Mytilus edulis: one gene and its partners. The protein of the gene in region 3 purifies or fractionates together with the protein of the main gene of each other region. This does not show direct contact. Links are inferred from orthologs where the notes say so. Each region holds a gene or a part of one and is shown on either strand. Other genes may lie near its edges.

What was found.
Region 1: the proteins of histone acetyltransferase KAT8-like (region 3) and MSL complex subunit 3-like purify together in Homo sapiens (affinity purification with mass spectrometry; 4 studies listed by BioGRID and IntAct, with this or other methods). This does not show direct contact. The link is inferred for Mytilus edulis from reciprocal best matches to the Homo sapiens genes KAT8 and MSL3.
Region 2: the proteins of histone acetyltransferase KAT8-like (region 3) and PHD finger protein 20-like protein 1 purify together in Homo sapiens (affinity purification with mass spectrometry; 3 studies listed by BioGRID and IntAct, with this or other methods). This does not show direct contact. The link is inferred for Mytilus edulis from reciprocal best matches to the Homo sapiens genes KAT8 and PHF20L1.

Annotation. Positions count from the first base shown.
Region 1 is NC_092351.1:20,165,177-20,168,937, forward strand, and holds the start of MSL complex subunit 3-like, read right to left. Parts: upstream 2,471-3,761; 5' UTR 2,365-2,470; coding exon 2,266-2,364; intron 1-2,265. UniProt on the Homo sapiens protein: Non-catalytic component of the MSL histone acetyltransferase complex, a multiprotein complex that mediates the majority of histone H4 acetylation at 'Lys-16' (H4K16ac), an epigenetic mark that prevents chromatin compaction.
Region 2 is NC_092355.1:3,752,648-3,756,408, forward strand, and holds the start of PHD finger protein 20-like protein 1, read right to left. Parts: upstream 2,374-3,761; 5' UTR 2,258-2,373; intron 1-2,257.
Region 3 is NC_092352.1:21,231,869-21,235,629, forward strand, and holds the start of histone acetyltransferase KAT8-like, read right to left. Parts: upstream 2,958-3,761; coding exon 2,759-2,957; intron 566-2,758; coding exon 488-565; intron 1-487. Other genes in the region: leucine-rich melanocyte differentiation-associated protein-like, read left to right, coding at 3,055-3,132.

The DNA of each region.
Region 1 (3,761 bases), on a different chromosome or scaffold from region 3:
TTGAGATATGGCACAACATGTGAAAAAAAATCTTTTTTTTGTTTACAAAACACTCAATATCTCTAAAATAAAATAATAAAATTTTGAACCATCACCAAAAAGTATACAGATCTTCAAAATTAATATAACTTAGAAGTGTGTAAACTTTTAAGCAATAACCATAAATCGTTTTAGAGATACAGCGTGACATGTGAAAACCCCCTCCCCTTTTTTTACAAAATACTCTAACTCAAAAATAAAAATTTGAATAATCACCAAAAAGTATACAGATCTTTAGATTAATACATGTATAACTAAGAAGTGTGTAAATTTCAGAGCAATAATCATAAATCATTTTTGAGATACAGCCTTATACATTGTATGTGGAAAAAAAAACACCTTTGTATTAGTCATTTAGCTGCAAAGTCCTGTAAATTAAAAAGTTTTAATCTTTTTTTCACCAAAAAGTATACAGATCATTTGATCTGCATAACAAATCGATAGGTCACTGTGAAAACTTTCTAAATATGAGAAAATAAAGGGTGGCGGCAAGTAGATGAAACTTACATAAATAAAGAAATAAATGAAAATTGAACCAATTGAATTGATACCCGATTTATATAATTCCAAGGCTGTTAGTCGGCATCAGAAGCGACAAAGCAGCACATGTATTTTGGACGGGCAAATATCCACTTTTTGATAGAGGACAAGCTCTGATGTCCCACAGCCCCAGCTTGTCTGGAAAAACAGTTGTTAGAGTCAGAGTAATCTCTGACTAATCTAGGACAAGCTATGACTGAAAACTTTTCCAGATGCACAGGTTTGTCTGTACTCAAGATAGAGGTTACAGACAATTTTGATCTGCAGTTAATATATATTCCCATTCACCCCAGAGAGTATTCGTGTATACTACTTCTTCCCGGTTACGAGTCGAACTCTATGAAAGTGTAATTGACTCGGGTGCATCTCAAACAGACAGGAGGTCACTCCTCTCTGGCCAAAAGTAAAAGTCCAGGAAAATCTGGATGGTATTTACAATAAAAATATATGCTAAATTACAACTATATACACTGGTTCTCCTGCTGTCTATTTAAGGTGTGGTTGGGTCCAGGGGATGATGTTCACTCTGGCCCTGAAGTCCTCTAGTGATCCGGACTCCACTACTGATTCTGGGAGTTTGTTCCACTCTCTCGTTGTTCTCGGGAAGAATGACTGAATGAGTGGTAGTAGATGTCTCTCTTCACTCTTGTCTGTCTAAATTTGTGGTTGCCCCTGGTTCTTCTGTCACCTGATGCATAGTACTTGGCTGGATCAATGGCAATCATCTGGTGTTGAGTTTTGTAACACAGCACTAGACTCTGTTTCCATCGTCTGTGCTGCAGTGATTCCCATTGAAGTTGGTCCAGAAGCTTTGTGACACATCCTGTAGAGTTGTCCTGGTAGCAACTGTAGACAAAGCGAGCTGCTCGTCTCTGTACCTGCTCTATGTCACGTACATTGTATGATGGTAATTTGGTGTGGATCCCATACCGGGGAAGCATACATTGTATTCCAGGGTTGGTCTGACTAATGTGCAGTAAGCTGTAGCTTTTGTTGCTGGGATACACCTACCCAGGTTTCACCGTAAGAATCCTAGTGTCTTGGAGGCTTTCCCTATGGTCTGGTTGATGTGATTTGACCAGGTGAGATCTTTGCTGATGGTGAGCCCAAGGTATTTCCCACTGTCTATTGTTTCTAATCTGTGTCCATGGAATGAGTAGGACGTCTGATGTTGTTGACGTCGTCCAGAGACACGGATGACTGTGCATTTTTCTGGGTGGAAACACATTTGCCACTGTTTTTTCCATTCTTCCAGCGAGGAAAGATCTTTCTGCAGCAAGTCTGCATCTTCTGGTTTCTTGATGCGCCGGAAGAGTAGACAAAAAAGTGCATGGCAAAATCCAGTTAAGTTATGATTTTTCCAAATCATACAATGCATTTGACCTCTATTTATCTAGGGCATGCTATGCCTTAAAACTTTTCCAGATGCACAGGTTTGTCTGTACACAGAGTAAATTTTACGGTGAAAATACGGCTATTTTAGCCAAAGGGTCCACATGAACCTTAAATAAATTAATGAACAACATATTGAACGAAAATAACCATGTACATGTTCATTTATACAAACGATTGTTTACGTTTATTTCAACGTTTTTGTTTGAAGAAGTTTTGGACTTTGTGGAAAATGAAAGTAAAGGGTGTAAACAATGTTTAAAAATACAATGTAGGTTTTGATAAGGTAAGAACCTTTGCATCATAAAGTACTCGGGCCTTTGTCGGATCTGGTTCAAAACAGAGGACGGGTTCTCCTACAGAATAGATGAACTTTATGCCTCTTATGGACATAGTACGATATCCATTTGAAGATAAGAAATACACTCAATTGCTAAATAACTATTCAGGGATTCATTCCCGCGTCACTTCTCATAATAACAGGAAGTGGAATTGCGCAGTTAAAATTGTTCTATTTTCAGGAATAGTCACGAAAAATATCCGTATGAGATCTGTATAACATCCAAGGATTTGTATGGGATTAAATGATTAAAGAATAATGCCCTTAAAAAATGAAGATTAGAGAATAACGGGCAAAAAATATGAAGAATAGAGAAAAAAGGGGTTAATTTTTTGAAGATTAAAGAAAAAAGGGGTTAATATTTTAAAAATTAGAAAAAAAGGGGTGAAAATTAAGTGTTTACAGAATAACAGACCCCCCATCTAGACCCTCTTGTATAGCTAAGTAACTATACAAATCCTTGTAACATCGTATACAATAATTTAACATAAAGTACGTTAAACATATACCTTCATTCAGTTTCTTACGATCAATGTTTTATAAACTATTTTCCAATGAAGAGAAATACTTATTCCAGTTGAAATGATATTTCAGAATATATTTGTTTCCCATTTTGAAACTTATATTATTACCACAGGCACTTGTCAGTCAGATTTTTCCCCCTACATACCGTGTTACCATTAAGGTACCGGTATATAGGATTTTTTTCTGAAACAAGTACCTGTGGTTATTACTATCTTTTTCGTGACAACAATGCCCCAAATTGCACCTATCTAGCCGTGAAAAAAAACTAAAAACTTGAAAACCAGCCCCCCAAAAAAAGAATATATATTTTTTTAATTGAAATCACACATTCATCTGACCATTCATATAATTCCATCCTCTTTATCATCGAATTTATACTTGCCACGAGCAACTCGTCGGGTGCCATGAGCAATACGACGTGTGCCATGCACATTTGGGACAAGGTATGCTTAACAGATATATAATTAATGAAATATCAGTGGAGCAGCTAATATATTCCCGGTTGTAATAGGGTTTGTTTTGTACAGCATTTTATTAAATATGTATAGATTTGTAGACTCGTTTTTCTATTCGTCATTTTTTTATTTGTTTTGTCAAGATATTTTCAGATTTTCTTTTACTAATATCCATTTGGTGCCTTCTGTCTGCTGTGAATATGTATTGATTATATTTCAAGTCCAGTGGCGTATATTTTATTAATAGTCAGTTCAGTACCAGTTACAAATAAATATATTTGATAAAAATGGTTTGACCAGGATGAAGGTTGGCCGGAAAATTTTGACAGGAAATTGAAAATAGTGACATGTTGGATGCAAAGACATTATTCGTCGCGGGACGACTACGGTCCCCTAGCTGAAAAGGATGTTGAAAGGGAACTTTTATTTTAAAAGAACATAAAAAAAAACATTTCTTGCAAGCGAAATCA
Region 2 (3,761 bases), on a different chromosome or scaffold from region 3:
TTTGATAAAAAAAATAAATTTAAAAAATGTAGGAACTACTTGACTTTCATAGCTCATAATTAACGTGTTTACAAAGTTATATGATATATTGTTAAAGATTAGTTTGCTTCAATACTAATTACATCAACTTACCAAAACATAGATTTTATTAAACATGTTAAAGTCTGAACATTTTTAAATTTTTTATTAATTTTATCAGTGTCGGTTTTCTGATATAATCACGTCGGTTTTCTGATATAATCACAACTTCCTGAAAAGATCTGACTAAATACCCATATCTCTATATCGTCAGGTGAAAACGCTAAGTACAAAATGAAGTATATGACTTTGGAGGGAGTTCCATTTCAATAGGCCAGTTCCGGGATACTGTTTTCAGACTGATTATAATCTGTCATGTGACTTCCATCATCATGTCATGCATCATCATTTCCAACATATATTGAGCAAACAGGTGAAAAAGTTTTATTTTATACTGGACACAATATTTGGGAAATTAAAATCTAATAAGATGGTCACCCTCACTCAGTCGTACAGCAATCAAGAGTACGTACTTACGGAACATAAATTATTTCAATAATACCCTACAGAATGACGATTTTGAAAGTGATGGAAACTTTTGATAGAGCAGGGATACAGGCGCGCCTTCTATCTGGTAAATGATGTCATCCAGATGTGCAAAATTGACGAACTTTTTCGGTGAAAGACATGATTCCAGAAATGAAGTATACTTTTTAAATAAAAATCAATGTTGATATCAAACATCCTTGATCTAAGATCTCCACATTCTCAACCCCAAACCAAAATTTCCCAGTCACCTGAACTGTACATAACAATTAAGGATAATAAACAAATTACATTTTGTAAACCTAATCATACAACTCTTAGTTTGTTTTACCGTATGTCTTCTTTTCATTTGTTGTTTTAAACTTGTTTCGTTTTTATAACTGCATGATCGGTATTGTACAAATCTGAAAGCTTGACATTCTATCAGTACTTACAAAATCTGAAGTGCAAAATTGACGAACTTTTTCGGTGAAAGACATGATTCCAGAAATGAAGTATACTTTTTAAATAAAAATCAATGTTGATATAAAACATCCTTGATCTGAGATCTCCACATTCTCAACCCCAAACCAAAATTTCCCAGTCACCTGAACTGAGTTTCAGAGTCCATCACATGTATAAATTATTTAAATAAAACTAGATGTGTCAAAGCAACATGAATGGCCCCCCGTCTCAAAAAGTTGAAAAATCTGCAATTTCAATAACACATGTGGACACAAACATGATGATAGTCTCAAAAATCAGCTGAAAACCTGGAGGCGTACAGAAAAAAAGTCTGTATAATTGTGATTTTCAACAATTTTCAAAGATGTAAATCCTTACTTTTGGCAAAAATTAGCGGAGCAGAAGGAAACTTAAACTTGATCTGTAACTCATCATGAGTAACTCACATCATGCACATACCAAAAATCAGCACAATATCTGAAAGTGTTCAGAAAAAAATTCTATATAACTATGATTTTCACCAATTTATCGAAGTCCATAGCCCAAAAATAAGCTGAGCAGAACAAAACTTAAACTTAATCTGTAACTTATCATGGATAACTCACATACCATAAATCAGACCAATATCTGAAAGAGTTTAAAAAATTTCACACAATTTATTTAAGTCCACAGACCATGATTTCGGTAAAAAAAACGTAATGAAATTTAAACTTGATCTGTAACGCATCATTGTTAACTCGCATACCAAAAATCAGCCCAATATCTGAAGGCGTTTAGAAAAAACTGTGTATGATGGTTTGTTGCGGAATGACGGAATTGCAGAATTTTGGAATTTCGGACAAGGGTAAAACTATATGGCACCGACAACTTCATTACGGGGCCATAAAAATATAAAATAATACTAAAGATGATGAGTTACTTCCCCTGTCAACCTTTCTTTATTTTCATCATCTTTTAGTTTATGAAATGAATATTGTAAAAGAGATACAAGAAGAACGATTACCATTCAAATTATTCCATTTTATTTAAAATATATTTTAATTTTTTGTATTATCTTGTCCTCCTTCAGAAACAAACGAGACATGACTATATGTTATGTAAACAAAAACATCATGTCATGCCGCCATGCGTCGGCGTGGTCGAACCGGTGACGAATGTGACGGGATAAAATACAACTGTGTCACCTCTTAGAAGGTCTCCAGTTCTGTAATACACTAATTTCTTATTATAATTATCGATTTATATTTACCAATGATATGAGTTTTTCACATTAACAGCAATTCACTAGCTGCAAACATTTGACGCATTTCCATTTTCTCCATTTTGTGTTTTGTAAACATAATTCGGAACATCTCTTAAAGTAATATAACTAATTACCGAACAAATATAACAAAAGTTATGAATTGCAACGTACCATCGAAAAGATACGGAAGCGTATTGGAGACATTGATAAAATAAAATTGTCATTAAAAATGAATTCTAAGTTGATATTAAACAATTAAAATTTGAAAATTTCGACTTCAATTCGAAATTTCAATTTTTCATTTCTGAAAATGTGATTTTTCTTTTAATAATTTCGACTTTAAACTCGAAATTTCACTTTTTAAAAACTCGACAATTCAACTTTAATGGAACACAAGCTACGAGATATAGCAGAAAAAATAGAATAATAGAAAGAAAAAAAATTGTACTTATTTTGTTCAATCATTAATCAAAGTGAAATAGTTAAGTAAAAAGACTTTTAGCAATTAAAATTGAGAAAGGAAATGGTGAATATGTCAAAGCGACAACCACCCGACCATAGAGCAAACAACAAACAAACAATTAGTTTGGTTCAGTTTTGTCAAAATAAGCAGATAAATTTTGCTAATGAAATATCATCAATAGCAAGTAAATAATAAAATCCGTTTTCATGTGAACTTTAATTAATTAGCTAGAGATGGGTTACACGTGCAGCACTAGGCGTGATCAGCTAGTAAGAGGGAAACATTTCAACAATTTAAAAAGGGAAACAGGGGTAATTTTTAAACCATTTGATTGACTATTGGATCTACAAAAACTTATTCCATACACGTTAAATCGATTTTTCAACTATTGCTTTAATCTATAATATGAAATCGAACAGACTGGATATATGTTCAATTACACGTCCTTGCTATCTATTTATATCTTTGTGTATGTTTTCAACAGAATATATTATCGTCGACATTCTTCGGAAGGACACATCGATGGTTAATTAGATTGAGTCTAGACTAAAATGCATACGAAATGCTGATACATAATTTCGAGTTTATGAATTGTAAATTGTTTATTTTGGTCTTTTTTATTTGGATATACGTTTTAGTATGTTATATTTGAATATGAAAATTTGAATCAAATCGGTGAACATTAATTTGACAGCTAGTGCCCCTTTAAGATCGTAAACTCAACTTTGAAAAGCTCGAAATTCTTATTTTAACTTTTCAATTTAAGGGACGGGATTGTAGCTACGAAAATTGAAACAAATACATTATATCGACATACAAGCTTGTCAGCCTTCTATCGAACCATTTGGATAGTTGAGAACAGGTTTGATCACACTAAATAGTTATCAAAGGTACCAGTATTATAATAATTTAGTACACCAGACGCGCGTTTCGTCTACATAAGACTCATCAGTGACGCTTATATCAAAATATTTAAAAAGCCAAACAAGTACGAAGTTGAAAAGCATTGAGGATCCAAAATCCAAAAAGTTGTGCCAAATACGGCAT
Region 3 (3,761 bases):
CTTTTGACACTTATAACTAGAGAAGTAATGGCTACCCTAAATCTAATTGACAAGCAGTGATTCTTTCTAACCCTCTTGCTGCTGGAGGGAAACATATGTCCACACTGACTGTGCCGGAGGGACACATGATATTCATGTTTTAACTTATGAAAGCTTGTCCTCATTGCTGTATCTTTTTCAAATAAAAAACAAAATATTTAACATCGTTTTATTTTTCTTCAATTGGTCCCAAATATAATGGTCATTTTTGCATGACATGATGCATATATTGAATGACATCATTGTTGGACATAAAACGTCACAGTTGTCGAGTCATCGTATTTTCCGGCACACAAAATGCAACCTTGAAAAACAACAGGCAGCAAATGGGTTAATTAGAATTATTCTATTGGGAAAAATATATGAAAATCTTGGTTCGCAACAAACTTGTCAATACTATATTGTAGACTTTTTTTGTAGTACAGAAAAGCTTAAATACTATACTTACATCCTTCATAGTGTACATAAAATTCATGTTTGCCTTCCACCATGTCAGTTAGTCTAGTTTGGATTATCTCTGCAGCATCTGTAAAAGTATTGTAAACAGTTATATCAGTTATCTAATCTGATATCAGGTTCCCACATTTTTTCTTATTGGATTTCTAACAACCTCCATGAATGAATTTCAAAATTTATACGATAAGATATATATTCAGATTATCAAGTTGCAGTTGATATTCATGTTTTTACTTCTTAACTTGTAAAGAGTTTCAATATTATCAAAAGTTGCTTTACTCATGCTATTTGGTATGAAATTATGATCTGTTTTATGTCTTATTTTGTACTCTTATAAAAAGGGAGATGTTGATTACGTAATTCAATATATAAAAGCATGTGTTCAACTTGTTAAACTTTTTCCTTTTAACTAGATTTAAAATTTACTTTTTTTAATCTCTATATATTCATTATTAGCATTTGCTGAAACATAATTAAGTGTTCTCCTGTTCTCAGGTGTGTCAATCTTCTTGTACAAGCTAATGATTTTCTATTTTAAGATATCCATCACGGCTTTCAGACTGTAAACACAAGGACCCTTTGGATTATAATACAATACACCTTATCCCTATTTGTCCACCAATATCTGATGCCACAATGTAAAAGTGATTGTTGTATTGATGATGTAGACAGCATTTTGAAGCCTATTGTAACTTACAAATACAAGAATAAACACAAAATATCAGGTCCTTTCTTGAACTTGTTCACAAATTTCCATGTGTTTTTTTCGTACTCAAGTACCAGAAGTCGAAATGTCAACAATGGCCAAACTCGGTTTAAAATTCTAGAATACACCGGCTGTACAAACAACAAAGTAAGATCTCACTCAAGTGTAAGTGTACAAGTGTTAGTAAGTATGTATGACATCAAAAGATCAAGCAGGACAGATTATCTGGTAAAGTGGGATGGAATTCAAAATAGCCATAAGGTGTATAAGCCTAAGGGTTACGCATTTACATGCAATTGATTGTAAATAATTGCTTACTGAGAGTTGACAACAAATTCTGATTGAAGAATTCTGACAATGGTGGGATCATTTGTCTTTTGATAATAGTGGAAGAAAATTTAACAATGTCCTGTCAATGGCAGGGTCCATTTAATGGTTGCGGAAGAAAATTTAACAATGGCAGGCATCATACTTGAAGATATTTTAACTATGTTGTCTTTGATGATGATGAAGCTCCATCATAAAAGAGCCCCTAATTCCTAACCTTTGGGACCAAAACTCCCAAAATCAATCCCATCCTTCCTTTTATGGTCATAAACCTTGTGTTTAAATTTCATAGATTTCTGTTTACTTATACTAAAGTTACAGTGCGAAAACCAAGAAAAATGCTTATTTAGGCCCCTTATTCATAAACTGTTAGGGCCAAAACTCCCAAAATCAACCCTAAACCTTCCTTTTGTGTTCTCAAACCTTGTGTTTAAATTTAATAGATTTCTATTAACTTATATGGGGACGAAGTCCCCAATAACAGTAGAAAATTCAATAAAAAAAAAAAAAAAAAAATCGGGGAAAATTTTCCCGATATTTTCATTGTACTAATGAACTCAAAATCATTCAATTTTTTTTTGTCGCGTTTTTGAAATTCCGGATCTGCGCAGAAATCTACAATGTACTTCCTTTTTCCGGTCTCGTTTGTATGAAACTTTGAGTAAAACATAAATTTATCAGTCTTGTATAAAATAGGAAGGAACGCAATACCAATTTCATTTTTTAATAATTCCTCGATATGAAAAAAAACGTTACCTGATGATAGCGTTTCTTTATTTACATTGTATATGACATCATAACTTTAATAACGTCACAACTAAAATCCTAACAACAGAACCAAAATACGTGAAACGTTACGGTATTTCCATTTCTTTTTTTTAACAAATATTAAAGTTACAAAAAAATAATTCATACAGACTTCGTCCCCATTTACAGGTAATGCCTGTCTCATATTACTAAAGTTATAGAGCAAGAACCAAGAAAAATGCTGATTTGGGCCCTTTTTTGGCCCCTAATACCTAAACTGTTGGGACCAAAACTCCGAAAATCAATCCCAACCTTCCTTTTCAGGCTTTTGTGGTCATAAACCTCTTTCATAGATTTCTATTCAACGACGACGACGACGCCAACTCCATACCAATATACATTTTGGCGGTCGTATAAAAATCATGAAAACACAGATATTTTTTAAATGCTAAATTTTAAGAAAAATTATCAAGGTAATCCTACGCCAAGTTCCATCAGATCTTCGAACAAGGTAGTGATCTCCCAAATCAGGAACATCGCTTTCTCCATGTCCATTCTTGTCTCCATTTGTTTCATTTATAGACATATTATTCAATATTTCTCCATTCGAAAGTCTTCGTAGAGGTATTTGTACATTAAAGTCATGATTTTCTAAAATTTCTGGATTTTTCAAATCCGCCATTTTTGTTATTGTCTGTTGAAATTTTTCTAAAAGTTGACAAAAGACGGAACAGAAGTAAAATTCCGGACGTGAAAATCTGAGTCACGTGATTCTAAAAATGGCAGACGAAGTTGAAGAGAAAGTAAACCCAGAGATAAATGAAGATGAAGCAATAGAACAGTTTCAAAATGGCCAGGTCTGTCGAGCGTTTAAATAACCAACAGAACATTGGACCTTTAATTAATGAGAGAGTAAAATCGTTTCTTCAGTCCCATATATAATAGGGATTTGAAATTTATTAGAAGCAACTGTTGAAGAATAAAAATAAATATTGATAGTTCAGTGATGTGCCAATTCAATGATTGATATGGACACAAATAGTTCATAACAAATTTTTAATTGTTGCGAAATATCGCATCAAACAATTTATGCTAAAAGTAAAATGTAACAGATTAAAATATTTCCAAACTCTGGTAAGCTAAAAAGGACAGATCAAATCATCCTATTATTCTAAATAATTATGACATCTTGAAAGGCTATTTTATTTTTTTGCTTTTACTCCTTACAGTGGCATCAAAATGAAAAATAGAATACCCTTTTAGTACACCATAATTGTTTTGACTACCTTCCTATGACACAAATGTATCAGCTCCACAACAAACTTACAGAAGTTTTACAGAAATTTACAAGATAACTTGTCATGCCACATCTTCTTACCTAATTTATATTGATCCAAAAACTATTGCAGACTTTAGCTATTTCGAAAAGTCAATAGACTACAGACAAAGTGATGTATTTTTTCATCTATTTATCATGTTTATTTTT